Rattus norvegicus: one gene and its partner. The protein of the gene in region 2 interacts with the protein of the main gene of each other region in a biochemical or structural test. Links are inferred from orthologs where the notes say so. Each region holds a gene or a part of one and is shown on either strand. Other genes may lie near its edges.

Region 1 (15,723 bases), on a different chromosome or scaffold from region 2:
AAAGGTCAGAGATTACAATTTCATGACTAGGCATATGACTAAAGCTACAGAGTCCCAACCCTAGAGCAATGTCAACTGCACTCTTTCCCCAGGGACAGCACACCATTCTGGAAGTGTGTACACTATAGCAAATTATATTTGAATGACAACAGCATTCCTTTCATGACAAACACTGAAAGAAACATAGAGCTCTTCTGTTAATCAAAAGAGGAAAGAAGCAAAGTAGAGCTTTCTAGAAATACAATCCACCCCAACAGCAAGATCTTCACAGGCGAGGCACTGTCTGCACCTCTGGACTCAACAGGCAGCGGGGAGATATTAAGAGGACAAACAGAAATAGCTTGGACTAAACCAGAAAGTAGGGAGGGGGACACTGAGAGCACATGCTCATATTTTGAAAATTCAGGGTTCTCTGTGTCCTTGAGTCAAAGGGAATAAAAGGAAACAGAGTCTAACATTTTCAAACTATTCCTCGATCCTGCAAAGGACAATAGTCATCCTAGAAGTGGCAGCTGGTAGCTGGCACTGAGTGGAAGCCTGCTCTCAAAACAAGCATCCTTGAGTTAGGCTAGTTGTCACTGATGAATCGTGTTCTTTATAATCAAAGAAGCAAAACCATACGTGTAAACAAGAAACACTTGATTTAGATGCCTAAGACTATTTTATTTGGAATGTCGAATATGGAAACTAAGATAGCTATGCATAAATGCTAAAATCCGTTCATTGTATATTGAGCGAGCAGGAGTTCAACTGATTGAAGTGATGATTTTGGAATTTTGGTTTCATTAAAACACAAAAACATTATTTAAAAATTCGTTTTCATTTTAATCCCAGGCGTAGAATATGGTGCTGCTCCAAACTATCCACTACAGCTGACTATGATTTGCCTCGTGCTCTAGCAGCATGATATTTTGCCAGCAGCAGATAGTTTGAGGTTTTGCCACATTTGGAATTCCAGGGACTTTTCAGAGGATATAGAATGCTAGGGCCCTGAGATGGTGGTGGATTTTTACTTGGTTGTTGTTGGTCCCAGTTTGTTCAATAGTTGTGTGCAAAGAAAAAAGAGAAAGAAAATTAAATATTCTGACAACAAGGAAGATCAAGCTTGCCCCAAGGAACTTGAAGCCCTTAATCAGCAGGAAGTACTCTAATAATGTACCCCATTTCCTCTCTATCCATTTTTCTCATATCTAGTGTTAGGGGGTTGAAAAGGTAGAACAAGGGTACAGAAAGGTAGAAGAAAAAAGAACCCACAAAGTAGCCAAAGGACCAGCTATAACCTGTAGTCCAAATGGGCTCACACTCAAGTCCCTCCTGGGTGAGTTCCTGAACACCAGGGCTTATAATAGACACATGGCCTCCAGTTTTTCAAAGTCTGAAAACTTAAGCAAAAAGTTCCAAAAAGAACCAAGTAAAACCTCAGAAATGAACATAATAATCAGTAGGGGAAAGTCCTCTGGGCATTGGTTCAATAACAGATAAGGCTGGAAGCAGAAATAGCTGGTTGCAGAATTCAGAATAGCTTACACGGGCAAGAACATAGCAGTATGAGAGGAAAAAATAACAGTCTTGAAGGACACAGTGACTGAATGCATTTAGTCAGAGCCCCAAATTGAAAGGATAAGAATATAAAAGATGACTATTTGAACAAATACTTAGGAACACACAGAAAGCCTAGCGAGCGCAAGGCCCTGGGTTCGGTCCCCAGCTCCGAAAAAAAGAAAAAAAAAAGGAACACACAGAAAGAAAAACCCACAGCTATATAAACTATGAGATGTAAGTAGCACACTAAAATTCACCTTGGTGACACACTGCAGTAACATTTTAAAATGCCCTCCTAGAAAAGAAGGGGAAAGGAGAAAGACGACCTTTAATGTAGCTAAGGAAAAGATTAGCAATATTGAGGCGGCAATGGGTACAACTCTGAACTTCTCAACCAGAGGGCACTGAGCACACAGTTTCTCTCTCGCCCTCTCTCTCTAAGTTCTAAGACAACAGGACTGACAACCTAAAACAATGTGTCCAGGAGATATGCACTTGAAGAACAACATTAACTTAGATACAGTTTTGCAGACACAGGCCCCTCCCCCATCCGCAGGTTTAGTTACCTGAGGTCAGCTGTATCCGGGAATAGAAAATAAAAATCCCAAAAGCTGCAGTTCCTAAGTTAGAAACTGTACACCACTCTGCTGAGATAAACACTTATGCAGTACTACTTGTCCTACCTAGGATGTCCTACCCTGTACCCATCATGTCTACACCATATACATGACGGCTCACTGTTCACTGAAGGAGGCACCTGGATAGTGGGCCAGCCATCACTACAGACTAGATCCATGGAACCCTCACTTTACTCAGCGGCCCCAACACTGGCAATTCAGATATGGCACAGAGAAGCCACACACTGCTACTCTTCAGTGAAAAGCTGAAAATTCTTGACCTGATAAGCAGAGAGAAAGAAGCCATCTTCTAACTATGAAAGTGTGAAGGAAAAAGACTAATTGTATTTCATTGTCCAAAAACTGTGTAAATCTCAGTCACAGTACATGACATGGTAAGTCTTAATTAAGATTAAGAGGGAAAAGGCATGACGTTTGCATGTTGTGTACAGGAAACATCACACGACACAATACACAGGGTTCTGTTCTATCCAGGTTTAGGAATCTACTGGGTATCTTGGAACAGACTGTCCATAGTTAAAAAGGAGGGTCTAGAATATAAACAAAACCCAGTCTAGACCAGGATACCCATTCTACAGAACATGACTAAGACTATTTTAATACTTTCTAGGTGATGTTTCCACTGCAGTCTTGACTTCTTTTGTTCATTCATATTTCTACTTCCAATTGACAAACTTCCACACTTCCAATGGTGATGGGTCCAATGTGGTCCAGCCGTTGAGAGCTCAGGGGTGCAATGCTATGTCCCACACCTTCTTCAGCTCTTTCCCGCTATATTTCTGCCTTTTCTTTGCACTGGCCCCTGAGCTTTGGAGAGAGCACGATAGATGTCCCACTGAGGGTACGGCTCTTGGGTTTATTGTGACCAGGCCTCAGATTCCACATCTACAAATTCACTGCCTGCAAATAAAACTGAGCTGAGACCAAGTAAGCCAGCTAGCTCGAGGTCGTGTCCTCCTAAAGCTCATGCTGAAGCCTCAATCCCTAACAAGATGGTATTAGGTGCAGGCTTTAAAAAGTAACTGGGCTTAGGTCATGAGGGTAGGACCTCAGCATGGGATAGTGGCTGCTATAAGAGACAGCAAGCTCTCTCTCCTTCTCCAGCCTGTGCACAACTGTAGTCATCCACCAACCAGGAAGAAGGCCTCACTAGGAACTAGATCTGCTAGCAACCTTGATCCCAGACATCTGAGACTTCAAACAGTGAGACACAAATGTCTATGGCTTGAGGCACTCAGCTCAGGATACTATGCTATCGTGGTCTGCACTCTCTATATTGTCCTATACAATCCATAGAATGCCGAGCACACAGCGTTCAACAGCTGTTATCATAACCCAGAGTTTCAGCAAACACTGTACACACTCCTACACACATGTCTGCCTACACTGTTTCCCCCACTTTCTTCTCTTCTCACACCTCTACTCACCTAAACCTGCAGTTATGGATGGGGTCAGTAGGAGTCAAGTGTCGCGCTACATACTGCAACCCCTGTGTACCAGCAGCTGAGGCGGAAGGAAGGATTGCTCAGTGAGGTCATGCAAGCATGAGGACCTGAGAGGACTCCTCAGAACCCATGTAAAGGCCAGGCGACACAACACAAACTGCAATCCCAGAGCTGGACAGGTAGTGACAGGAAGCCCTGGGGCTTGCCAACCACTCTGCCAAGTGGACTCTGACCAGTTCCCGGTTCAGTGAGAGACTATGTCTCAGAAAATGAGATAGAAAACCATTATAGAAGTTACTTGACATCAACCTCTGGCATTATGGGAGGTGTACACGCACACGCACACACGTGCGTATACACACACACCACAGAGAGACAGAGACAGACAGAGAGACAGAGACAGAGAGTTAGTTCCAGGCAAGCCTGAGCTACACAAGCCCAGACTGTTATTTTGTCAGCAAAGGAAAGAATAAAACAAACAAACACAGTAGAAGTGCTTTAATGAAAACCATGGCCAAAGCAAGAGGAGCAGCTGCCTGAGGGTCTGCTCGATCCTCCATAAGCTTCCAGACAGCTGCGAAGCTGCACCTCATGCTGAAGACAGGACAAGACACTGGGCAGGAACAAATGACGGCCACATGGACGGATAACTTTCTGCTTCCCATGAAAGCAACCCGCCCTCCTTACCTCATCACCTTAGAGAATCATCCCCTCCCCCCACCCCCTGCCCCATCCACTCCCCCCCTCCCCTACCCACCCCCGAGCGCTCAGAGGCTGGCACAGGGCAGTGCTCAAAGTGCAGCAGCAGCAAGCCAGGCAATCACTCCGGTTCTTTTGTTTGGTCCTAATGATGGGGGGCAGGGGAGGTACTCCAAGAGCCTTCCCGTCCCCCTTAACCATTTGTTGAAGCCACAGCTGTTCTCCCACCGAACGCCAACGGCAATTAATCTCTGAAATGCCTCAAAAAGAATACATGAGCAAACAACTGAACTCTAAGGACAGTCCTCCTTCATCCAATGCAGCTGCTGTGAAGAAACTAGGTAAAGACGGAGGCTGCTTGTAGTTAAACAAATCACGTTTTCCTTTACTAATGGCAAGTCTAAATCCCAGTACTATAGCCATGAGAGAGAAATCAAAACAAAGCGCGACTTTCGAAAAATTATGTATTGTTTTAAAAAAAACTCATTAAAGACTTCAAAAATAAAGCAAATGAATCAGGAAGGAAAAACACAAGAGCCAAGAACAAGCAGCCCTGCGCTCTGCTGCTTAGACACAACCCATCAATGTTCCCCACATTTTCCCCTGGTGTTTTACATAACTGGAATCACAAATTGTGGTAGTGGCAGCCCTTGTCCTTTAAAGTGCCTCATAAACATCTCTCCACGTTTTTCTTCGTAACTTTGCAGCTACACAGAGTAGATGACAGAAAAAGACCATTTCCTTCCACAACAACTACTACAGTAAAAACTGAGACTACCCTGACGCTCCTGAAGCCACCGAACTAAAATAAGATACACTAAAAATGCCTAGACACAGAGAGTGGTTAAAAATGTTAACTGGCTTTCAAGTGACAAAGACAGGCAGGCAAGGCTTGCCAGAGCCATCTCTGTCCTGGGTCAGTTTCTTTTTTAACATCACTGCTAATTGTACTCACACCACTGGCCAAAACCCAGTGTGAATGGTCATACACACAAGGGCTGGGCTCCTCACTCACTGTGTGCCCCACTGTGGTGAATAGTGCCTGACTTAAGTGCTGGCTGGAAAGAAATGAACTACAGACTATGAAATATGATTGTTCAGACAGGGAAGGTTACTGTGAGTCGAAGTCCAGACATGACAGACGATATGACTGTTAGAATCTGATTGTAACAGTAACTGTAGAAACAGAGTAAATCAATTGCAGAGTACCCAGTTCTGGTCCCAGCACCTACACAAGTGTTTACTCCAAGCCACCTGCTAATTTCAGTTCTGAGGACCTGACCTCTTCTGGGCATGTGCATACATACGGTACATATAGAGATAAACAGGTACACGTTCATACAAATAAAGTTATGGGGACTGGAGAGCTGGTTCAGTGGTTAAGAGACTGAAGAGTTGGTTCGGTGGTTAAGAGACTGGAGAGTTGGTTCGGTAGTTAAGAGCATTGGTTTTTCTTCCAAAAGCCCTGAATTTGACTCCCAGTTCTCACCTGGCAGCTCATAAGCATCTGTAACTTCCGTCTCAGAAAATCTGAGGCCTTCTTCTGGCCTCCTTGGGCACACATGGTGCACAGACAAAGATGTAGGCAAAACTCTAGTACATACATGTATGTGATGGTTTGAGTAGCAATGGCCCCTATGGCTCAAACATTTGAATGCTTGGTTCCCAGTTGGTCAAGCTGCTTGGGAAGGATGGGGAAGTGTGGCCTGGGTGGAGGAGGTGTGGTTTTTGAGGTTTCAAAAGCCCACGTCATTCCCAAGTAGCTCCTTCCTTCTTCTCTTCTTTCCTTCCCTCCTCCTTACGGATTAAGATACAAGCTCTCAGCTACTGCTCCAGTGCCATGCACACCTGCCTGCTGCCACGCTGCCCACCATGATGGTCATGGACTCTCACCCTCCAGAATGGTGAGCCCCAAATTGAGTGCCTTCTTTTATAGGTTGCCTTGGTCCTGGTGTTTGGTCATGGCAACCGAAAAGTAACTAAGGCAACACAAAATAAAACATTTATTTGAAAAAGAAACTTTTGAAAGAAAAGGCAAAAAGACCTAAACAAAGAATCTTCCTTACAGATTGAGGAGCAAAGCAGCACTGCAAATCCTGCTGCACACAGTGATGGTGCAGGGGTGAAAGACAATGCAGGGCACACAATCAATACCACAGAGAAGCAAGAAAACCAAAACACCACAAGCGGAAAGAACTCTGCTTCCTGGGACATCAGGAACAGGCAGATGTCTGTGCATCACCACAAGCGGCAAAGAGGCAGCGAGTTAATGCTCTAGGCTCCCATTCAGTGGATGGTGTCCTTGCTAATCTGAGTGTAAAAGAATGTGCTTACCCAACTTAGTTTCCAGTTCTCTTCATATGCCAGTGAATATATATGTATACAGTGCTAGAACTCAGAGGCATGTGCAAAGATTTAAAATGTGCACTCAGCCCAAATGCCATCACACGCACAGACCTGACTAGAAACACCTTGGGAGAAAAACTAGAATCCGCCTCCCATCGCTAGGCTGTCCTCAGCCAGCTGCACACTCTAACTTCACTCACTCACACACATATTTTCTTTTCTTTTACCACACTTGTGCTCTGAAAGAATTCAAAGGATTTACAAAGAAGGAATTTGTTAATACCGCATCTCTAACAGCTGCTAGTGCTTGGGTGCACTATGGCTGTGGCGTCTTCTATCACAATGTACAATCAGAAAGCATGCTTGTGCATCTGCCGCTTTTCAGAAAGTGGACATAGGGCTATTCCTTGGGGGCTGCCCTGAGAGCGCCTTCCACAGAGCATAGGAGATGGAGCACTGTGAATACTGCAATTACTTAATGACTAAGATCTCTAGCAGACACCCATTCGGTCTCCTCAGCCTGCATTGTGACCACAGACAAGTCATTTGAAGATGAGAAGCAGATCCAAGTTTTGGGATCAGCTGTCCTTTCTTTCTCTTAAAAGTACAGGTACGACCCTGCCAATGACTGTGACAATCAAGTAATCAAAAGGAATTAAAATGCCGTAAAAGGGTAGAGGCTATCTGTTCAGGGCCCTGAGTTCAATCAAGCAATCAATCGATCCATGTAGGCCACTCTAAACCATGGTTCAGGAGTCCAAGTAAACGGAAGAATTGGAATAGTTGGTCCGGAATTCCTGTACGTTTCATCTCGCAAACTGTCTTCAAGAGTACAAACTGTTGTTCCAGTTCTAAATAAAGTCTTCTCTCTGGCACACCAAAAATTCTGGAAAGTTACTGACTTGCTACATAAGCACTCAAAAGGGGGAGGAGGCATATCATCTGTAAGGCTGAATCATGCCAGTCACCGATCTCACAAAGGAATATTATACATATACAAACAGTCCGTCTTTGAACGCGTGATAATTTCCCTAAACTGATCCATAATAAGAATTGCCACTGTCGAATACAATAAACAAGCGGCCAAAGACCGAACTGGCACAGACTAGAGACTTCTAAGTTTACCTCTGCATGCTTGTTTCTTCATACACAGAACAAGAGAACCAGTAACACAGTCTTATCAAAATGAAATAATTCACACTAAGTTGTCCTAATACAGCCCAGCAAAAAGCAATTACATGGAATGTTTACTATGTTTGAAATTACCTTTTTTTTTCTTTTTAATTTTTGAAATATGGTCTCTGTCTAGGCTGGCCTTGAAGAACTGGCAGTGGTCCTCCTGCCTCTCTCTGCCCCTCAAATCCTGGGATTACAGGCATGTGCCACCACATCCAACTTGGAACTTGTAAATTTTTTGTGGTCTCGCTCTGCCCCCAGGGTAACCTAGAACTCACTGTATATCCCAGAATAAAAAAGCTCACAGTGATCCTCCTGCCTCGGCCTTCACGGCATTGGGATTGCAAGCACTCGTCACAGCAGGCAGGAGCTGGCAATTTTAAACGGAAACGGTAATGATACCAAGTGAAAAGCATAATCCTAAAAATTAAAAAGGCACAGCTGTCCCCTATGAAGATGACATGTTTTTAAAGGTTTTACTTTTACTTATGTGTGAAGGGACCATATACATGTATGAATGTGAGTGCCTACAGAGCTCAGAAAAGCTTGTCAGATCCTCTGAGGCTGGACCCCCTTGCTGTTTGAGTCACCAACTTGGGTGCTATGAACAGAACTTGGGTCCTCTGCCGGCCTACCCCTCTGTAACCACTGAGCTCTCTCTCCAGTCCCAAGAGTACCTACAGCGTTCAGGTATACGTAAGCTAAAAGCTATATAATAGGAAACTCTTTCCTTTCCCTCAATACCAAGAAACCCACCAAATTAGCCCCACCTGAGGGGTAACATCCGCAATGAGCCCTTAGCAGTTTCTGCTTTTTACTAACAAATCACCAAGCAGGAATGTATCCCTGAAGTCAACTGCAAACTGTTTCTCCAATAAAAGCTGCAGATTTTCATGTTAGCAAATCTCTTCAACAATAGGGAGTTGTTCTGGTCTGTGAATAGGACGTGTCAGGACATGTCAGTGTGACGGACACTGTGGGAGCAGGACATTCCTGACACTCCTCTCTCCTGGCTAGCCTCTGCTCAGCTCTATCTCCCAACTGCATTTGGTTTTAAATTTTCTAAATCAAGCAAAATATATGGTCACAAATACGGGCTAAGGGTCATCCTTACTACAGAAGCCTGTTTCCAATATTTCAGCACCAGAACCCCTGTTTTCCACCACCACTCTGCGCACCCCACTAGAATAAGCATCAAACACAAAACCGCTTTGTTTTCTTGCCTGACCACCCCGCCTCCCAACAGGGCTTTGGTGTATTAATTTGTATATCTTGGAGAGCATCGTGGGCGGCAACAAATCCAAGGAACAAGCCAAGGGTTGAGGAGTGGTCCGGGTTGGGTTACCTTCTGAGTAAGGAGTGGAGTCTTATGCAACCTTAAGTTTGGCACTACTTGTGTGGCCCCTCAGTTTTGAAATTAAAAAAAAAAATTTTTAAGAAGACTATTAGCCTCTGAAAATTGGGTTCACAAACCAAGTTTGTGAACCCACTTCACTGAGCTGTTTTAAGAACTGAGATAATAGCTTCAAAGTGCCCTGTGGTATTTATGGAAAGTTAACTGCAAAGTAAACTTTACAGTGCTTTTGCCCCACAGACCAGGGAAATAGTGTCTCCCAGGAATTCCACTAGAAAGAAATGAGCAGAACTTTCAAGTTTAGCAGGGTGTTGGGATCAAAATGACCCTGGTGCTACTTGGGAGTCAGGGTCTCCACCACGCTGCAACAAAGGTGCTTATCCCTATGCAGCCCCCATCTCCGCACAAGGATGGCGGGCCTTGCCCAGTTCAGCTTCTTTGTTGACCCCAGCAGCTCCCGGGAGGACAGGCCTCTGGAGCTTCCCTAGCTGCTCGTCGTCCACGACTTCTGGGTACCACAATACTGATGGGGTGTTTTCTCCAGCAAGTTTTAGAGCCCGTGAGGCAGCTGCCACGGTCCTTCTAGAGGGCCGTGTCCCTGTCCGGGACCAGTCGCATCCACGCGGGTCAGCCTGAGACCGGACCCGACAGCCCGCTGAGCCGCGCCCGCCACGCTCCGGCAGAGGCCACCCCTCAGCTCCTCGGCCGGACCTGGAGTCCTGGGCGCAGAAACCGCTATTCCACCGCGGCCCGGGTCGCTCTGTCCCCATCGTCACAGACCACACTTCCCAGCCGCACTGAAGCGTCAACTCACCCCTGAAGAGCAGCAGCAGGAAGAAGTCGGGTAGCCGCGCGCACAGGCGAAGTCGCAGCCGCCGGCTCAGCGCCATGTCGAGGGGAATGTGAGGGGCTCAGGCTTGGAGCGTAGAACTGGCCTCGTGCGCATGCGCTCACACTGCTTAGACCCTGCGACCCGCCTCCAGTTTCCATAGCGACCACGCGGCCCGGCCTAGCCGGCACCATAGTGACCGAGAAAGCTCCAGTCTGGTTGCTATGGATGCAACGATGCTCAGCGCTTCCAGGTGCTACCTCTGTCAATGAACTTAGCCGGAGGAGAATTAAAAAGCGTGTCTGGGAAGGAAGCGGGGTAGATTTATGAAACTGTAGATTATCGCTACAGATCTAAGAAGGATTACTCCATTAAAATTTAGGCATGATGGGGCTGGAGAGATGGCTCAGCAGAGAAGAGCACCTGTTGCTCTTCAACGGCCCGGATTCCATTCCCAGCACCCATATTGTGGTTCACACCATCTTTAACTCCAGTTCCAAGCAATCTGACACCCTCTTCTGACCTCTGACGGCACTAAACGTGTCTGTGGTGTGCATACATACATGCAGGCAAAACACTCATGCACATGAAATAAAATAAACCATTTTTTATTAGAGAAATTATTTTACAAATAAAGATATGGCCATATAGTTTTTTTTTAAAACAGTAGTATTTTCACACCTGTAGGGCCCCTGATACCATATGTAATGAAAGGAGAAAATGCTGAAATCTGAATAAACATTAGCAAGATATACCCACTAAATAAATATAATAACATGCTATATAAGTATGATTCATTTCTCTGGTAGACCTGAAGCCTAATGGTGTCCCCAATAGTGTGTCCTACACAGTACAAGTGTAATTCTTGTCACTTGAGGGTTTTTTACCCGTTTTTTTAATTTTTTTCTGAAAATGTATTATATAAGTACACTGTAGCTGTCCTCAGACACACCAGAAGAGGACATCAGATCTCATTACAGATGGTTGTGAGCCACCATGTGGTTGCTGGGAATTGAACTCAGGACCTCTGGAAAAGCAGTCAGTGCTCTTAACCGCTGAGCCATCTCCCCAGTCTCCCATTTTTTTGTTGTTTTTTGTTTTGTTTTGTTTTGTTTTTGACAGAGTATTATTTATGTAGCCCTGGCCACCCTGGAACTTGAAGGCTAAATAGACCAGGCTAGTTTCAAATTCTCATAAGTCCAACTGCCTCTGCCTCGAAGTGCTAGTATTAGAAGTAAGCGCCACCATGTCTGGATTTTTTTTTATAATTTTAATTATATGTATGTGTGTATATCTGCATGTGAGTGTGTGAAAATAATTGTAGGTGCCCAGAGAGGCCAGAGGAACAGAGTTAACAAATAGTATGCCTGGTGTGGGTGGTGAGAACTGAAATTGGGTCCTCTGGAAGAGCAGCAAGTGTTCTTAACTGCTGAGCCATCTCTCTCTCCAGCTTTTTTTTTTCCATTTTAAAAATGGTTCATTATTTTATCATCATCATCACCATCACCATCATCATCATCATTTGTATGTAAGAGTAGGAGTGAGTGGCAGGAGATATATGCCACAATGTGCATGTGGAGGTCAGAGAACAATTTTGTGAGGTTGACTTTCTTCCACCTCTACGTGGGTTCCAGGGATCAAGTTCAGGTTTCCAGGCTTTAGGAGCAAGGGTTGGCACCCACTGAGCCATTTTACTAGCCTTGCTCTGAATTCTGAATAGTAGGAAGTGGGGAGGGGAGGGAAGGAAAATGCAGTAAGATTTTATAAGCAGATGACAAGGAGGATAAAAATGAACCGGAGGTGGGCTGTGGTGGCACATGCCCTTAATCCCAGCACTCAGGAGGTGGAGGCTGGTGGATCTCTGTGAGTTTGAGGCCAGCCTGGTCTATAAAATGAGATCTAGCCCAGCCAGGCCTACATAAATAAACTCTGTCTCAAAACAACAACCAAGAACTGGACATTAGACCTAAGGACATTAGACAATCTGGACTGACATTTAATACAATGGAAAACTCTTTTTTTTTTAAGATTTATTTATTTTGTGTATATGAGTACACTGTCACTGCCTTCAGACACACCAGAAGAGGGCATCAGATCTCACTGCAGATGGTTGTGAGCCACCATGTGGTTGCTGGGATTTGAACTCAGGACCTCTGGAAGAGCAGCTAGTGCTGTTAACCGCTGAGCCATCTCTCCAGCCCTGGAAAACTCTTGAGAAAGGTTTGCACCATGTTTAATATTAGAAAAGGCATCCCTAAAATTCCAGAAACAACACAATTAAAACTGAGCCTCTGAGAAAGTGTGCCAGAGTTCCCAACAACTGATACTACTATTCAATGGGTAACAAAATAACATTTCAAGAGATTTGAAAGGGAAAAGTCCCTGCCAAGTGTGTTTCAATTTTCATTTCCACATGACTGACCCTCAGTCTACATTTTATAAATGTTCAAACCTTTATAAATGTGAATCGATTATTCCACCACAAACCCAGAAGAAGGAAAAAAAAAACTAATCCCAAACATCAGGATAAAAATTTAAAATAACCTATTGTAATGCTACTTGTCTTTTCATTCCTTCTGTTTCTGGTCATCATGCATGTACGTCATAGGCAAATGTGTGTAAATGGTATTTCTCATGCTGGCCTCTCTTTCTGCACTAAGCACAAAACAAAGTGCAGTTTCCTGGGAGTTTCTTTAAACCTAATTGTTGGGGGAGGGGTGTTAATCTGTTTGTTTTTGTTTGTTTGTTTGTTTGTTTGTTTGTTGTTTTGTTTCTTCTGCTCTCTTTTCCTATGTTCATGTGCTCAGTCATATTTACCTAACTGAAGAGAACCATTCTGATTCCTTGGGGACCCTGAGATGGCGTCTGACTGTAGACAGAGCACCGTTATTTAGAAGCCAATGCTTCCTTTCTCCTGCTAAATTCCTGTGTTTGCATTATGAAAATGGTTCTCTCTGTTCAATGCCCTTCTGTTTTGGAGCTCCTTTTGAAATACGGGCAGGAGATTACAAGAAAAGACTTCATGAATATTCTATAAAGGGCAGAGGTTCCTGGGAGAGAGGGTGGCAGGTGCTTCACTGTAAAGTACTGACTTCCCTCCACAACAGAGGTCCCATGTCATTAGCAATGGCCAAAGCATGTTCTTGGAATGGAAATGCAGGTGGAGATGCTGCTGCAAGGCAGGGTAACACATTTGTCTGTGATGTGTCTGTTCTTCCTGGAGAAACTGAACTCTGCTCAGCCTGAGTAAGTTCAATGAGCAGAAGGTTCTGGAAACATTTGGTAAGTAGAGCCGGAGTCTGTGCCTTTAACCACAGCACACGTTATCTGAATGCATTCGTTCTAGCGTGAAACATGTTAGAAAGAGATACTTTCTTTTTGGGTTTTTTTTTTTGAGACATGGTTTCGCTGTGCAGCCCTGGATGTCCTGAAACTCACTCTGTAGACCAGGCTGGCTCCAAACTCAAGAGATTTGCCTGCCTCTGCCTCCTGACTGGTGATGTAAGAATAAACATTTTTTAGTTAACTCCACTACAAGCACTCAGAGACCTACTCGTACCCAGCCTGGGAACATGGCTTCCTGTTCCAAGAAATAGGCTAACCACAAGACCATCTGGCCCGGATTACGGCTGGTTCCATAATTCTGAGAAAGACAAGAGCAGGAAAATGGTTTGCTTTATAGAGTGTGCCAATTTAAATGAATCAATGAAATTGTTACCTGCCTACTGCTCCCCGCCTGAGTAATTTTCTCTATAAAATGAGCCCCGAAATTGAGTTCGGGGTTGACTCCTCTGTCTCCTGCGTGAGATACATGTCGTCCCCAGAGCTCTGGCTTCCCAAATAAACACTTGCCTGATTGCATCAAGATCGGCTGCCATGAGTTCTTGGGTTCGCGTCATCCCGGTACTGGAGTAAGTAAGATTCTCCCACTTGGGAAGGACCTTTCAGTGAGATTAAAGGACTGAGCCACCACTGCCAAGCTGAGAGATGCACTTCTTAAAAGAGCTAAAGAAATTAAATCAGCATACGCTGAACTCAAGAGTTTTACAATATTGATTAATATGAACATAAAAAGCAAATCAGGGGAGCTGGAGAGATGGCTCAGTGGTTAGGAGCACTGACTGTTCTTCCAAAGGTCCTGAGTTCAATCCCCGGCAACCACATGGTGGCTTACAACCATCTGTAATGGTATCTGATGCCCTCTTCTGATGTGTCTGGGAACAGTGACAATGTACTCACATATGTAAAATAAATAAAGCCTAAAAAAAAAAAGCAAACCAAGAGGCAAGAGGCAAGGTTCCCTACTTGATTTGCCAGTGAGCACAGCAAATGTGTCTGTGTATTTATGCTTATCTAAGATTTGGATTCCTTACCTAGAAAACAGGGACTCATCCCAGTGAACTGATGGCCGGAGATTAAACAGCTGAATCACAGATGGAGCTCAATGCAGGTTTACTGCCCAAATTTCTTCTCTTTCTCACTCTCATGCTTCTGATAAGCATGATACAAATGGGTCAAAATGGCTTCAATATTCTACCCGGACTTTGATAAATAAAACACTCCCAGCCTTCAGAGACGTCAGAGGGAATGATAAACAAAGGAGAGCTTTAGTGGATGTTTGCTTTTTCTTATATTCTTTCTGCAGTAATTGTAGGAAAACACTCAAGACCCCAAACTTACTATGCAGACCAGGCTGACCCCAAATTCACAAAGATCTGCCTGCCTCTGCCTAGCAAGTGCTGAAACTTGCCATGTGAATTCCGCATCACCAGCTGATATTATTATTATTATTTAAAAAATTACACAATCATAATTTTGTTTCTTTCTTTATGTCATTAAACCCTGAAGTAATCACCTGAATCCAGCTTCTCCATCATGAGAGAAAGGAGGGAATCCTTCTCTTTTTGGGAGACTTGACACCCCCCCCCCCAAAAAAAATTTCTCTGCATAGCTTTTTTGGGAGCTTGGTCATACGCTTGTTAATCTGTTTTTCCTTTCTTTCAACTCTTTTCTTTGCAATATTTCTGACTACACTCACAACATTTTACAGAAACTATTATCCTCTTGTCTTTGTCTCTGAAGTAGTTTAGTTTTACTTAAGTAAGACTCACCCTTCTCCCACTGACCTGATGAAATAGTTGCAGGTACATCCTCCTCTTCCTCCTCTTCTTCTTCCTCCTCCTCCTCCTCCTCCTCCTCTTCTTCTTCTTCCTCCTCCCCTTCCTCCTCCTCCTCTTCCTCCTCCAATAAAATGTGCTGTCGTTCACTTGATTTCCATATTCCTCTCTGTGATTCAGTTGGAAAAAGGTCACACTTTTATCTCAGCACTCAGGAGGCAGAGGCCAAGGATCTCTGTGAGTTCCAGGCCAGCCTGGTTTGCAAAGCGAGTTCCAGGACAGCCAGGACCTGCACAGAGAAACCCTGACTCGCAAAACCAAAATAAATAAAATTAATGAATTAAACAAACTCATCTCTTAGAATCCCAAGTGTAGGTGCTTCTGTGTGTGCCTTCATATACTCATATGTCCCAGGGGGAGGGAGTTATGCTAGTTCAGGGGTTGAAGTATCTGGGGCGCTTTACTCCCCAATACCCGTTAAAACACAGTACCACTGGCACTGCTGAGGAACCTCAAGGACACCCTGAACTACCTGGGAACAATATCAGGAGCAAGTCTCGTCTCTGAAGAGCAGGCT
Region 2 (15,728 bases):
TTTTTACTATTTTGTGTATGAATTTTTGGGTGCATGTGTGATGCTTGGGGAGGTCAGAGAACAACTCATGGAAGTTGGTTCTTTCCTCCTATCATGTGGATAATGGGACTTGAACTCATGTCTTAAGGGTCTGCAGCAATTGCCTTTATCCACTGGTATCGCCTTATATTTTAAATGGTCCATTCAGCTAGATCAGGTGGCTAGTGAGTTCCTGAGATCTGTTTGTCTCTGCCCTCCAGGGCTACACTGTACTGTAGAGCTGTCGTTTATGGGTGCTTGCATGGTAGGTACTTTACTTATTGAGCCAGCTCCTTATTCCTTTTGAAACACAGTCTTACGTAGATCAGGCTGATCTCAAACCCAATATGTAACCAAAAACAATCTTTGCCCGCATGTTTAGTTTTGTAAGTGTTGGTATTTTGCCTGCATGTCTGTGTGAGGGTGCCAGATCTCCTGGGACTGGAGTTACAGATATTTGTGATCAGCTGTGTGGGTGTTGGGGATTGAACCTAGATCCTTTGGAAGAACAGCCAGTGCTCTTAATTGATGAGCCATTTTCCCAGCCCAATGATAATTTTGAACTTCTGGTTCCCTTGTCTTCAATTCTTGAGTCCTGGGGATTATGAGTATGTGTCATTATGACTGGTTTATATAGAACTGTGGATCAAAATTAATAGGCAGGGCTTTGTACATACTAGGCAAAGCACTCTGACCCCAGCCCCCAGCCCCATCTTTGCCTGTTATACTCTGTGTTATTGTGCAATTTGCAGCAGTTCAGGATGATATCTGTTTTCCATCCCTCCATATTTCATCACTTATATACCCCTCATCCAGTCATGAGGCATAAACTCACACCACCTTGTGAAAAGCAGTTTCTGTCTCAAAGTGTTCAATCCACTGATGACTCTCTTCTTTGACATCACACTGTGGTCTTGTCTGCTGGTTGACCTGAACTCCAGAACTATGCTGTCTAATGTGGCCTCTGTTGACCACAGGCAGCTACTGTGCTCTGGGGATGTGGCTGATCCAAATTGAGCTGTGCCCTGAACATCAGTCATGCACAGGATCAAAATGACCTGGCCAAGAAATATGAATACAAAGATGTATTAAATTGTGCAAGTGCCTGCAGCACTTGTGAGGATGAGTCAGGAGGATTGCAAGTTTGAAGCAGAACTGGGGGACACTTTAGTAAGCTTTAGTCCAGCCTGGACTCTAAGGCAAGACCCCTTCTTATTTCTGTACATTCAAATAGCACTATGTATTGTCTTTGGTTAAATAAACTACATTGTTACAATTAATTTCATTTGTGGCCATTAGTTACTTGTAATACATAAAATAGTAACTATTGTTACTTGTATACACAAAAATGTATTTCTCTGGGATAAAATTAGAAGGCCGTTTCCTTCTGTGTCAGAGAGAGTGAATAGTTTTTTTGGTATCTCTGTGGTTGCACTATGTAGCATGTGAGCATATTTCAGTCATGGTCCATTCATTTCTGAAATCTTTACCAGATTGGACTCCTCTTGAGGAAGAATCCTATAATGTGTGGTTTAAGGCTTGATATAAAAACGTATTGCTGTTACTGAATGAGTGTGACAGATCTGAATGTTCTGATTTGTGGGTAGGGCAGACATATGTTGGTGTAAACATTTCTCGGATGTGTAATCAAAGAGTAAGCAATACACATGTGTGAAATGCCTTGGAGATAATACTCTTCACAGGATGACTGCATTTCAAAAACCTTTCACATGTTGTCTTCATTCTTTTATTCATGTAGGCATATAACTTTCACATGTTGTCTTTATTCTTTGTGAGTAATCATGCATGTGTGTATGCACACATGTGAGTGTATGCATGTGAAGGCCAGATGACAGCCCTCAATATCATTCCTCAAGTGTTGTCCATATATGTGTGTATGTGTATATGTATATTATTATATATGTACTCTCCAAGTAGGTCAGTGAGCCCCAGGGCTCCACCTGTCTCCTCCTCTCCACATTGAGGTTAGGCATTGAGTTTACATGTATACCACCAAACCTGGCTTTTGTTTTGGTTTTTGCCCCCCACCCTCACCCAACCCAAGGTTTCTGGGAATTGAATGGAACTATCTTCCCAGCTCCTACCTCCTTCGTTTTGAGTTATTAACGTTCTAAGTGTGAGCTGCTTGGTACAATGATTTCCCTACACATATGAAGGGTGTGAGTGTAGCTGGATAGAATTGAAGTTATATTCTGTGGGGTCACATGTACCCATCTGAACATAGGCACAAAGCCCAGATAAACCCTAATTAAGTCTCAGAACTCTCTGGGGTATTCATAGCCAGTTGAATCAATTAGCTGTGAAACAGAAATACAAAGGCCTTGATTATTTTTTAACTAGAAAATGCAGAATATAAAAAAGCAAATGCATTATAAGATGTTTACACAATGACCTTTGACCCCTGACTTTGATAATTTTGTTTCTCAAAGAGACCAGGTTTGCTTTAGTGCTTACCTCAGACGAGAAGCTATTTGCTAAGCTGAATATTTTATTGACATGAAGGAGGTTTGGCTATGATCCATCTTTATGGTTAGATGTTATTTGAGGAATATAGTGGCAGAAATAAATTATTTGTCATAGAATTTTATGTTTTTTTTAAGACAGCAAAGTGTCTGGCATCTAAAAAATTACAAAGCATTAGTTTTTTATTAATTTTTAGCATATTCATTGTTCATGTATGTAAAAAGCAGGGACTAATGATACATCTGAGTTGGCAGAATGCTTGGTCAGAACGTATAAAGCCCCAGATAATAATACCACCAGCATTTTGTAAACCAAGGGTGGTGGCACATTCTTGTAATCCAGCACTTGGAGGGTAGGGGAAGGGATTCAGAATTTCAAGATCATCCTTAAGTACATAATGAGTTAAAGACCAGTCCTGGACATGAGAAACTACGAGAAACTATATCTAGAAGAAAAAAAAAAGGACTCAGTACAATTACTCAATATGGCTGGTTTAGGATCTGAATGGAAAGATGTCTCAAGACTCCAAGGCATGGGAATTCAGTCCCGCCTGCAGGCACTGAGCCCACCCACCTAACAAAAGCTTTGAGGATGTTACAGAACTACACCAGTGAGCTATGGAAAGGTTAGTATATGGTAAATATTCCAGCAATTACATTTTAAGATGTTACCATGTTTCAGGACCTCAAGTTGAAGGTGCTGTACTAGGGAGGGAGGCACACTTTCAAGAGAGGAGACATTTGATTGACATCTCTTTAGCTGTTTATCAAAGCTTAGGACATCTTCAACTGTGATGTATACGATTAATGATAACCATATCTCTATTCAACTAGCCAGATAAAGTATTCATCATCATCACCACCACCACCACCACCACCACCACCACCACCACCACCACCATCACCATCACCATTATTATTTACAGTACAGGGTCTCATGTAGTCCAGGCTGTTCTTGAACTTTGCTATATGTTTGTGAACTACCTGCTATGTATCTTTAAATTACTTGCTATATGTTGGGGTTACAGATGTGGACCACGAGAGCCAGTTTTTAATGGAGCGTTAGAGACCAAACACAGGGCTTTGGACATATTAGATAAGCATTCTATTAGGTATATCCCAGCCCTTGCCCAGTTATGCCTCTGACTTTGAGATTTCTTTGCTCACCTTCCTCAGTCATTTGTTAGCATCCTTTAAACCATGGCTGCTTATATTATGTGCTCTCACGTACTAGCATATATTAAGATTTTTAATATAAAATTTTGTTCGATCCTCACAATTTATGAGATGCGTCTCACCAATTTCTTTCCTCAGCTGGTAAAGACAAGGCTGGAGAGGGTGTGAACATCACAGTTGAAAGTACTAGTGTTAAAACTTAGAACTTAATTTAAATCAGTGCTATTTTTTTTTTGACAAAGCCCACTAGCAACTTTATACTCCTCCCATGTGGAAAAACAGAAACACCAACTCTAATTACCCATAATTATTTGTGGGCGAAAGTGTTTTTATTTATATTTTATTTAATTATTCTCTATTCTCTCTCTTTTCTCTCTCTCTCTCTCTCTCTCTCTGTGTGTGTGTCTCTCTGTGTGTGTGTGTCTGTGTGTGTGTGTGTGTGTAGGTCAGCGAACAACTGTGGGGCAGTTCTCTTTTCCCATCACGTGGGATCTGGTGGGATCTGGAGTTAGAATTCAGAATTCAGTTAGAATGCAGGCTGAGCCGTCTTGCTGGCCCATGGACCCAAGCATTGCTAAAGTCCAAAACAAGAAAACCTCAGCAGGACTCACTGACATAGTGTGACCAGCATAATCACTTGAAGACAAGTAGAATGATGTAGTCATGTAGAGGTAATAAGAGTCTTTCCCAAGGCTGCGTGCCTTCAAGCATTCTCTTGTGGGCTTTGGGAGAGTGAATTCTCGACGGACACCTGAGAGGATGATTCATGATGGTATCGTTTGCTGGGATCGGCGATCATCCGGTGGACTAAGAGTAGTCAGACGGGAAAAAATGTGATGTTTCCTCTGACCTAGAGCCGCAAGGCCAAGGAGACTGCAGGATTCTGAAAAGCCAAAGGACTTCTTTGTTTTGCTTATTTTAAAAAGGGAGGAGGGATGGATGGACAACAGCACCAGCTGTAAGTGCTCAAATCCTGGGGTTCACAGGCGCTTTAACAGGCTCAAAATATCATGCAAATTAACTGCCAAACTGAACTTACTGTATTGTGTGAGATAAACTCGGGTCATCAGCGAGTGGCTCTCTTGAAGTTTGCCATTCTTTGAAGACAACGTTAACATTTATTTAGGGACCACATCTTCTAAGAAAGACGGAAAGCAGCTCCAGTCACTTGTCTAGACTTGGTCCACGTTGTTATTAAACATCTTAGAATTTGTATATCACCCACTTTCTTTGGAGTTGGGGGTGTGTCAGTGAATTATGAGGCAGCCTTAGCAGCGAGGGAATATCCTATCTAGAACAGCCTTCCCTTTGAGCATTCGGGCGGTATTTTTTCAGAGGGTTTTAGGTTGCTTAGATTGAGGAATTTTCAAGAAACAGATGTATTTGAACTGCGGTGTTAAGTCCTGCTTATTTAAACAAGTGGGTCACCAAGAAACTTTTAGGTAAATAGTGGCCTCAAGAGGAAGTACCAGGGCGTCCACGCGTCTCCAACCTTTCTCGGGAGCAGCCAATTAATCTCTGCTACAGAACAGCGCCGCCCGGCCTTGCACCGGAGTCAGGCACTTAGGATAGAAACCCTGCCTTGCCGCGGGGCAGAGAGAGACCTGGCTTGGAGCTTCCTCCATAGTCCGCTTCCATTCTTCGCGAGCGCGGCTCAGTGGCTCTCGGGCTTTAAAAGCGTTTCCGAACTTAAACTGCTTTCTCCCAGGAAGGGGATTAAAAGTCACAAAGAAAGGAAGAGGACCTCGTTGGAGACCTCTGGGGGTGAGGGTGGGGCGTCCCGGAGTAGACCTCCTAGAGCAGCCTACGGCAAGTGGGTTGGAGGAGGACGCGCCCTGCCCCGCGCAGGCCCAAGCACAGCGCCGCGGGTTGCGACGCGCGTCGCCGTGCGGTGAACCGAGCAGCCGGGCAGCGGCGGAGGCCTCGGGGCGCCCCGCCCTGCGCCTCCTCCTGCCGCCTGCGCGCGGTGCTGTGCGCCCAGCCCTCTGCTGCTCCTCCTCCCTGCCTCGCCGTCCCCTCCTCGGAGTCCCGACTAAGCGCTAGCGCCACACGGCCCCGGGCCGCCGCCGAGCGCGCCAAGACGCCGAGACGCCGAACAGGTGGCCGGAGGCTGCAGGCGCCCGGGCGGGGACAGGCGAGGGCAAGTGAAGGCGGCCGGGCTGGACATGGTAGCCGGGCAGCTCTGTGCGGCCGCCTGCTCGCGCCCCTAGCCGCCGGCGCGCCGGCGCAGCGGCCCCACCGCGCCCTGCGTACAGTCTCCCGGCCCAGCGGCGCTCGGGCCACGGACGGCGAGGGACGGCGGCATGAAAGTGACCGTGTGCTTCGGGAGGACCCGGGTGGTCGTGCCGTGCGGAGATGGCCGCATGAAAGTTTTCAGCCTTATCCAGCAGGCGGTGACCCGCTACCGGAAGGCCGTGGCCAAGGTGAGTGGCCTGGGGCGCGCGGCGGGGAGCGGACGGGGGAAAGGCGCGGGGATCAATATGGCGCTTCCTGGAGACGGAGGAGGGAGACCGGGAGGCGGGGAAAGGGAAAGTGCGGCAGCTGGGCCGCCTCGCCGGCGCCCCCGGCCCGGACCCGCGGCCGTAAAGTTCTCGGCGCTCTCCAGCTGGGCCGCGATCGCCACCCGCGCGGTCTCTGGACACTGTCTGGGTCTTCCGGGCTTAGGAGTGGGCGGCCGGGTGCTCAGAGCCGGCACCGGGCGAAGCAGAGTGCGGCACGCGGGAGGCGCGGCGCTGCCTGGCGGGGCGCCTCTGCCCGACCGTCTGCGGGTCCTGGCAATCCAGCTCCAGGCCTCTCCCGGAGCAGGCCTGTCCCGGAGGGTTGCCTACGGAACTTTGGGGTGTGTGGAAAGAGTTGAGCGATCTGGTACACGCGGGAGCCGCAGGCGGGCCATGTACCCTCTGTGTTCTTGCGGGATCTCCGGGTCGCGCGGGCAGCCCTGGTTGGGTCGGCCAGGCTGATGGGCTAAGGTGGGGGCGATGGAGTGGCTCTGGTGCTCGGCTCCTTAAAACACCTCAGCCTAGACTCGCTTAGCCCATGAGCTAACTCCCTCTGGATCTTTACCCATACCTAGCTGGATGTGCTCCAGTGTGGGCCTGGGGTCGGAGTATCCTCGATTTCTCTGTTTTCCTCATAAAGAACATTGTCTCCATTAAACCGCATTCCTCCATAATAGGTCAGAAGTGGAAGGGCGTTTTGTAGGTTCTTTTACCCTCTGTGTTTGACAACAGCCCACGCTGAAGTTTCGTTCTAGCACCTGAGGATATTTCCTTTGTATGAGAGTGGAATGTGTTCCCTTTGGTATTTCCCTGTCTGTTGTCTGTTCAGTGGCCTGCCTTCTGTGACTTCGGAAGCAAGCAAGAGGAAAAGGTGGCTTTGTCTGCCTATGTCGCCGAATGCTCATGGGCCACCCTCCATTTTTCTCTGAAATTAAGAAAGGGCAAAATGGTTACACCATTGTTTTGTTTTGTTTTTAGTCTGTGTTGGAAAAATAACAAGATTTTTTTTTTTTCTTTTAAGGAAACTTTGGGTGATGGTTGGGAATCTGGTACAGGGATAGGAGATGCCGAGTTCAACAGCTGTAAGTGTTCTTCCAGTTGGTCGAACTCATTGAAAAATCAAACAACGTTAGTGGAAATTGGGCACCTGTTTATCTTGTAAAGCTGACAAGAGGGGAAATCCTCTGTAACTTCACACTTAAGTGTTTTAAGCATCATTTCTGACTGACAGTTGGTGATTTAACATTGTAAGGGAAAACCAGGCTGTCTTTGTATTCTGCCGACGAACACCATTAGTTGTGAAAGAAAAGAAAAATGGCAGTAACATATGTAGAATATAGAGGTGCGCCTACTTCCAGCTCAGACAGCATGACAATGTTGGCCTCTGCTTCGCTGATTTTGTTTGTAAAACTAGCCGTGTTTTATCTTGCACACCCTGGGCAATGGTCAAGTTGCCTGTTGGGAAATACACACAGGCCACTGACTGACTGCATTACTGATTTTCCATAGGAATTAAACACTCACTATTTCAAGTCATATTGAGTATTTATTGTGTTGTGGGTGCTGGGCATCAAAGGGATCCATGGGCTTCGTTGTAGATGATAGATTGTGAGAGTCTGAGACAAGGTTCTTGTGATTCCTCAGGTGAGGACAGCTGTGGTGTTTGCCGTGGGGAGATGTTGTCCCGGGGAGGTTGAAGGATGGAGTTGAGGGCTCTTGCTGATAGATGTGGGCTGGTCTTCACTATCAGCAGTGACTGTTCCACAGCGAAGGGAGAGGGGTGGTGAAAGGGTCGCAGAAAGAGTAGACGGGCTGTGTGACTAACAGTTGTGAGAAGACCGGGTGGGAGGAATGAGAGATTGTGACATTGGAGTTACAGATAAGGCAGTCAAGGGTGATTGACTGGTTCCAAAAACTCAGTTTAGGAGGTGGGGTGTGTGTGTGTGTGTGTTGTGTGTGTGTGTGTGTGGTGTGTGTGTATGTGTGTGTGTTATGTGTGTGTGTGTGTGTGTGTGTGTGTGTGTGTGTGTATCTTTCTGTATGTGTTCAGAGGCCAAAAGTCATTGCTGGGTATCTTTTCTCTCTGCACTTTAAAAAGAAAGATTTGATAAAATCTTACAAATCTGGAATTCAAGGCCAGTCAGGGCTACATATACCTCTCTTTGCAAAAGATAGATTTTTGCAGCATTCGCAGTTGAACTGTTGGATCACAAGACTTTTGACTCATAAGTGTTCACAGGGCTGGGCTCATGACACATAGCTTAATCTCCCAACTTGGAGGCAGAGGCAGGTGAATCTCTGCTGAGTTCAAGATCAACCTCATCTGCAGAGTGAGCTCCAGGCCACGCAAAGCTGCATAGTGAGAACCTGTCTCAAAATAAAATAAAATAAAATGAAATAGCCATAAACAAGCCAAAACCCCCAAACTAGAGAAATGAAAGCTGACTCAGCAGCTAAGAGCACTGGTTGCTCTTCCAGAAGACCTGGGTTGGATTCCCAACCCCTACATCATAGCTCACAACCACCTGTAACTCCAGTCTCAAGGGATCTGATGCCCTTCTGGTCTCAGTAAGCGCTGCATGCATGTAGTACACATACGTGTAGTACACATACTGCATGCATGTAGTACACATACGTTCATACAAAACTTCCGCACACAAAAAACAAACAGTTTAGCTTACAAGTGTTTAAAGGCTTAAAGGAGCTACTTCATCCATTTGCTGTTTTTCCTCTTGGATGGTTAGGTAATGGCCGAGATTAATCTTTCACACTTCTCCCATCCCATATAAGACAACTAGGGAGCAAACATATCAACATTGCTAGTGTTGCAACTTCTGTTCTCCTATTTCTTCTGCTTAATAAAACACGGTAGATCCTGCATAAAGAACTGGGTAGCCAGGTAATGGTAAAATCTTGCTTTAGGTTGCTAGGTGACACAAGACATGATGAGCTCCCACCTTTTGGGAAAAATGTGGACAAGCAAACCATGTTCAATGTATGAAAAACCCATGAAGTAGAAGAAAAAAGAAGGGAAAGAACTTGGATTTAAAAAACAGAATAAAACAAAATAAACAAACAGAAAACACCCAGACAAGCTTTCTGTGCACTAAGCACTTTGTCATATGGTGGGGCTAATTTTCTTGTATTCTGTTTATGTTATTTGAGCTGTTTTCTCTGTAGGTTGAAGAAATCAATTTCTGGCCAGCTTAATGCCATGTCTTAGCACTAGAAATATCCTTAAGAAGCCAGTGTTTCACGGCTTACCCCTAGTCATATATAATCTATATTTTTTTTCACTAGTGTGAAAACATTTTTGTAGTCAAAAGGTGAAATGGCTGTCTGTCCTTTTTTACCCACTACCATCAAGACCCTGGGTTTAGTAGATGCTGTGCTAGCTGTGGAGGACCAGGTTACATGGAATCTTCTACTGAGTGTGTCCAACTGGAGGACTATTTGTGTCTCTATGTGTGTGTTCTGAGCCTTATCATTTCTGGTGCAATCAGAACCTTAGTTTTAAGCATGGGGTTTATTGAAGAGAAGCTGTGTACTAAATGTCAAGCTATGGAATTTCACAGCAGGAGCCACCATTATGCAGTGGTGGGTACCATGAAGTCATTAGGTTTTGCACTGAGCTTGGTGGGAGGGATGGCTAGCTGTATTTAGGGCCCTGCTTTCTAACTGAGTAGCTGAGTGACTCCAGAAAGCTCCTGCTTTGCTGTGTGAGAGTTCTGGATCCTCAGTTCTGTGGTGAAGTGAGGAGAGCGTGTGGACCTGGAGAGTGTATTGCCATCCTAAAAGTATGAGGAAAGGCATCATGAGAACAGAAACATTGGGGTTTTGGAGGGCCTATGTTTGGATCAAGCTGTGGAGGACAGGAAATGCCAGGGAGAGACTCTGGGATGTCATATGGTCTGGTAACAGAAGAGACAGGACGAGTTGCTGATCGGATGAGTTTGGCTTAGTAGGGATGAAAAGCTCCTGTAGACAGGAGAAGGGATTGAAGACAAGATGAGAGAGGGTGGGCTGCAAGCCCTTGGTTCACCACCCTTCTCCTTATAGACTGTCTCGGAAGAAAAGTTTTGGGAACCCAGCTGTATTAGCTGTTTAAGGTCAGGCAAACTAACCCTATAGAGCCTCAGCTTCCTCATCTTCCTTTCAGGATTAAAAAGAGTGTTGAGCATTGGTGAATATGAATTCTTCTGAACTAGATCCGGACTGTAGAAGCTGCTCAGTAAAGGACTGTATCACTGGTGCACATCATCCAGGGAACACCCTCGGCTTTTCTCCATCCCATAGTTCCTGCTTGGCTTTTCTTCTTTTGCTTAGAGTGTAATTTAATTGAAGAATAGGTGGACTTAAAACCTGCTTATGCAATGGTACAGTCAGAAGGAGAGATTGATTCATTGAATGTAGTGGGCAGAGAATGCCAAAGCTGCTCTAAGTGTTTCAGATGGGCTGGCTGGGCCTCTACTCCTCAAACCGGTCTCTTAAGAGTAACTTAGTAGCAATTTATTGTTTAAAATACAGTTTAAAGAGGAGGGGAGGCGGTGGGACATACCCATAATTCTGTTACCTAAGCCCTGGGAGGGAGGGGCAAGACAGGTCACAAGTTCCAGGCCAGCTTGGTCTGCATAGTGAATTCCAGGTTAGTCAGTGAGTGTCTCAAAGAAACAAAAATAAATAAGTTGTTTTAAACATATGCACAGGAACTTGTAAAAAAAAAACTACTTTCTTTAGGATATTACTAATTACTAAATTTACGAATCAGGCCTTTTATGAACCACCTAGTGGTTGGTATGAAGTGTGTGTGTGTGTGTGTGTGGGGGGTGGTGGGCAGTGAATGCATGGCAACATCTTGCTACACAGTTGCAAACTTTCTTGACACTTGATGGAAGTTACATTGTGGTAGTGATTGAGAAAAGATACCGGGAAGAATTAAAACAAAACTAGTGAAGTACAAGACATTTTTATTTGCAACATTTTCTGTCTTTCAAAGAGGAAAAAGAAACATAGTTAAAGTGCCCTCCTCTCTCAGAGGCGAGGGGCAGTGTCTCTGTAGTGATCTCTTGCTCTTCTGAGTCCTCTACTTCAGAGTCCATACCCCTCTGACTTTCCTGTACTCTCCAGCCTCCTCCCCTCTTTCTTGCTTCCTTTACCTAGAATGATCTCTCTGTCTCTGTCTCTGTCTCTCTCTGTCTCTGTCTCTCTCTCTCTCTGTCTCTGTCTCTCTCTCTCTCTCTCGCTCTCTCTGTCTCTCTCTCGCTCTCTCTGTCTCTCTCTCTGTCTCTCTCTGTCTCTCTCTGTCTCTCTCTCTGTCTCTCTCTCTGTCTCTCTCTCTCTCTCTCTCTCTCTCTCTCTCTCTCTCTCTCTCTCTCTCTCTCTCTCTCTCCAGGCTTCCATTGACACTCCGCTTAGGCCAGCCCTGTCTGGTACTGTACCTGGGTGTTTCAGGCTCTCTTTACTTTGTGCTTCTCCTGAGGACTTCCTGTAACTCTTGTACTTTATAGAACTCAAAGATAGGCAGAATGGGGCTGCGATTCTCTTCCAGGTGAGATGGCTGATGCTAGTGCCTTGCTTGCCACAGTCTCACTTGTTCAGCAGACGTATATTATACAGACATCACAAAGAGTGGGTGATGCTGAGAATAAAAACATCAGCACACAAGTGCCCACAGGAAGGACCCTTCTGAGAAGATACTGATTCCCACTTGCTAGTTAGAAGGGACTTACTACTTGAGTGTAGCACAAATAGTGTATAATCAGAATTAAGGCTAAGAGAGCTCAGAGTGTCTGGAAGATTCTCTTTCATGTCAGCTATTTTCAAGGAGTTCAGTTTGTCTGGGAGACCAAGCAGAGCTTAGTCCTAGGGTTTGCACTGGGTCAGATTCAAGGCATGTGGCCAAAGCAGTGTGGGAATCTGGCCCTGACTATACTTAGGCTCGGTCTAGTGCCTCCATTTCTTGCAGTGTGAATCCTTGGGGCTGGGCCAGAAGAGAGTGCAAGTGTTTAGAAATTGAGATTCACAGAATGAATCTGGCTGAGGAGAAGCACTGGTTGGCTTATGGTGATTCCAATTCCTCATGGATGAATTACTTGTTGGAGGTAATGTTTAAAGTCCCATATGGACCATTAACCTGAAGACAGATCCTCCACCTGTCCTGGGAGGTTCTTACCTTCCTGTGGCGTTGGTGATGGCAAACACTCAACAGATGACACACACGTTATACTCTCTGTCTTTTCAGGGTTGGAAATGAGAGGAAATGGGGGGAAATTAGGGCAGTAGGTTCTTTCCATAGGTGATTTTCCACTGGGTGGAGTTGGCATTTTAGGCCCTCCCTCCTGAATAGCCATTAATTCTACATTCCTATCTAGACCTAAGTCAATAGCAGTAGAACTTGTGGTCCGTACGCTAAATAGTTTTGGTGTCTTTTCTGTTTAACACAGAAAATAGAAAATAGTTCTTATTGTTATTTTGTTTTGATTTTTTTTTTTTGAGTCTCTTTTTAACCATGCTGCTCAGGGTGCCTCAAACTTGTGATGATCCTCCTGGCTTTGGGTACAGATGTGTACTACCATGCCTTGCTAGAAAATCTTTCCCTCCCTCCCTCCCTCCCTCCCTCCCTCCCTTCCTTCCTTCCTTTCTTTTTCCTTGCCTTTTTCCTTCCTCCCTTCTTTTCTTTTACTTCTTCTTTTTTAGATAGGCTCTCTCTATGAAGCTTTGTATGAAACCACCTAGAACACAGAGATACTCCCACCCTTGCCTTCTAGTCACTGTCTTCTAAGTGGTGGGATTAAAGGCCTGTGCTACTGGGCCTGGCCTTAGAGAATCAAATTCTAATGAAAGTAAATTTAGTGTTTAGTGACTAAAGCAGAAAAATGTTTGGTTCTCTTCCCCCACCCTCCTTATTTATTTATTTTTTTTCCGGAGCTGGGGACCGAACCCAGGGCCCTGTGCTTGCTAGGCAAGCGCTCTACCACTGAGCTAAATCCCCAACCCCCCACCCTCCTTATTGTTTTTCTTTTCAAACTTTGGAAAGATTCTGTGGAAATGGGTTTCTTTCTTGGCGCTCTGCTTCCTTATGTCTGGCTTTCTATCTTTGGTGATCTATACCATTAGGTGATACTCAGGATGCTGCTAGTTTATTTGCTTACCCAGCCTACACAAGAATAGCCCTGGCTTCAGTCCCTATTACTTCATAGAACCAGTTTTGGGGAGGCATACCTGAAATCCCTTCACTCTTGAGCTGGGGGCAGGCAGGTTAGAAGTTCAGGGTCATCCTCTGAAATAGTTTAGCATAGCAAGCTTGGGGCCTCTCAGCCAAATGGGACTGTCTCAAAACAAAGCAAACAAAAGCCAACACCCTTGCCTTTTCTTCGTTCTCAGTCCATATTGGCACACATGGTTAGAACTTTAAGCTTCAGGCCCGCATGTCCTAACATAGTGTTAAGTTCTTCTCTTAAATTATACGGTATGTGAATAAGAGAAGCGAAACGTTTACATACAAACTTAGGCGTAAATATTCATAGAAGCATTATTCATAATGACACCAAATAGTTCCTGTGTTGACCAGCTGACAGATGCATTGGCTTGGGGCAAAGAGGCTACAGAGTGACTGAGAATTGTTTCATTTACTTAAAGATTTTAAATTATTTTTGTTATTGTTATTATCATTATTATTGATTTTTCAAGATAAGGGTTTCTCTGTGTAGCCCTGGCTGTCCTGGAACTCACTGTGTAGATCAGGCTGGCCTGAAATCAGATCTCCTCCTGCTTCTGCCTCCTGAGTGCTGGGATTAAAAGCGTGTGCCATCACCATTTTTGTTACTTTTTTTTAAGGTTAATATATTTTACGTTTTGCCTGTATGTATGTAAATACACCATGTGTGCGCCTGGTGTTGGATCCCTTGGAATGGAGTTACAGAAGATTGTGAACTGCAATGCAAGTTCTGAGAAATGAACCCAGGTCCTCTTCTAGAGCAGCTAGTGCTCTTAAACAGAGTCATCTCCGCACCCCAAATGTTTTAAATATATGTATGTATAAGTCTATGTGTGCCATGGGTGTGCTGGTACTTATGGGGGGCCCAGAAAAGGGCTTTGGGTTGCTTGAAGCTGGAGTTAGAGGTGGTTGTGAAATGTCATATATGGATTCTGGGAATCAAACTTGGGTCCTCTAGAATAGCAGCAAATACTCTTAACCACTGAGCCATCTTTCTACTCCTCTTATTCCTTTTGTAAATGACTGATTAAATAGTCTAAATGTAGGTAGTTATAATGGTTGCACAACTACGGATATATTAATAATCATTCCTTGTTTACTTGTGTGTGCAGGAGTGCAGAAGTTGGTGTAGACGTTAGTATAGAGTGCCTTCAGTTGTGCTCCATCGGGCTCCCTTGACAAACCCGAAGCTGACTAAGTTGGCTGCACCAGGCGGCTCTCGAAATTCAGAGGTCAGGTTTACAGCTGTGTCGGGAAGCCTTGCTTTCACGTGGCGTTGGGGACGGACTTGTGGTCCTTAACGCTTGTGTGGCAAGCACTTAACTGCGCTATCTTTTTAACCCCAATCATGTGGGTTTTTTTTTTTTTTTTTTTTTTTTTTTTTTTCCCCCGGAGCTGGGGACTGAACCCAGGGCCTTGCGCTTCCTAGGCAAGCGCTCTACCACTGAGCTAAATCCCCAACCCCCAATCATGTGTTTTAAATGGGTGAACTTTATGGTTTACGATTATATCTCAGTAAAGATGTTAAAAATAGATATCATAAGCCAGTATGAATAAGATCCCATTTTTAGGTATTTATAGTTCTGAGAGCCCCATAGAACATGTCTTTGTGTATCAGAGATAACCAAATACCCCAATTGAAAATGACTTTTAGAGATTTTTTTTGAGTACTGCGATGTTAATCCTACCTCTTTGAGTCTCTGTAGTCTATCCTGCTGTCGGTCCAGGAAGCTCTGAATCCCATGATGCACTTTGTTGCCATACCCCCCTCTGAAGGCTTCCCATTGGTCCATGAGTTCCATCAGCTCTTTCTTCCCTGCCAGCCTTTGCTGAATGGTGTTTAACTGAGAGGTCCCAGAGGTGCCTATTGGAAGAGTTGTATGTGAGTTTGCTTTGGGCTCTCCGTAGCTCCCCCTTCTCTGCTCACCTCACTCCTGTGTGAAGGCGGGGCAGCTCCAGTTTCAACCCCTGAGCTCCAGCAACATTTCTAGTCTGCAGGGCTGTTCATCACGCTCCTGCTCCTGGGTTACCAGGCAGGTGCGATATGCATGGGCTTTGCCAGGGAGCAGACAGGACACTGGATCTCATTCCACTCAGCAGTGATGTAAGAGTCCATTGCCTCCCTCGGGACACAACGCTGTTGGGAGTCAGGGTGGATGTGGTTTAGGGTGTCCTCAGAACTCATTGCTTCATGATGTGTGTCTTCAAAGGTGAGACGCCTGTGCAGAGGTGACTTCCTCAGACTTAGTGAGTTTTAATTTAACATTTTCTCCTGCCTGATGCTGGAGGATGCTGTATGTATCCATGTGTATACACATGCAGACGCAACATTTTCAT

The links.
Region 1: the proteins of Pard3 (region 2) and Jam3 form a complex in vitro, tested with the Homo sapiens proteins (2 studies listed by BioGRID and IntAct, with this or other methods). The link is inferred for Rattus norvegicus from reciprocal best matches to the Homo sapiens genes PARD3 and JAM3.

The regions. Positions count from the first base shown.
Region 1 is NC_086026.1:33,818,345-33,834,067, forward strand, and holds the start of Jam3 (junctional adhesion molecule C precursor), read right to left. Parts: upstream 10,108-15,723; 5' UTR 10,091-10,107; coding exon 10,015-10,090; intron 1-10,014. UniProt on the Homo sapiens protein: Junctional adhesion protein that mediates heterotypic cell-cell interactions with its cognate receptor JAM2 to regulate different cellular processes. Plays a role in homing and mobilization of hematopoietic stem and progenitor cells within the bone marrow.
Region 2 is NC_086037.1:71,971,782-71,987,509, forward strand, and holds the start of Pard3 (partitioning defective 3 homolog), read left to right. Parts: upstream 1-5,721; 5' UTR 5,722-5,980; coding exon 5,981-6,100; intron 6,101-15,728. UniProt on the Homo sapiens protein: Adapter protein involved in asymmetrical cell division and cell polarization processes. Seems to play a central role in the formation of epithelial tight junctions. Targets the phosphatase PTEN to cell junctions.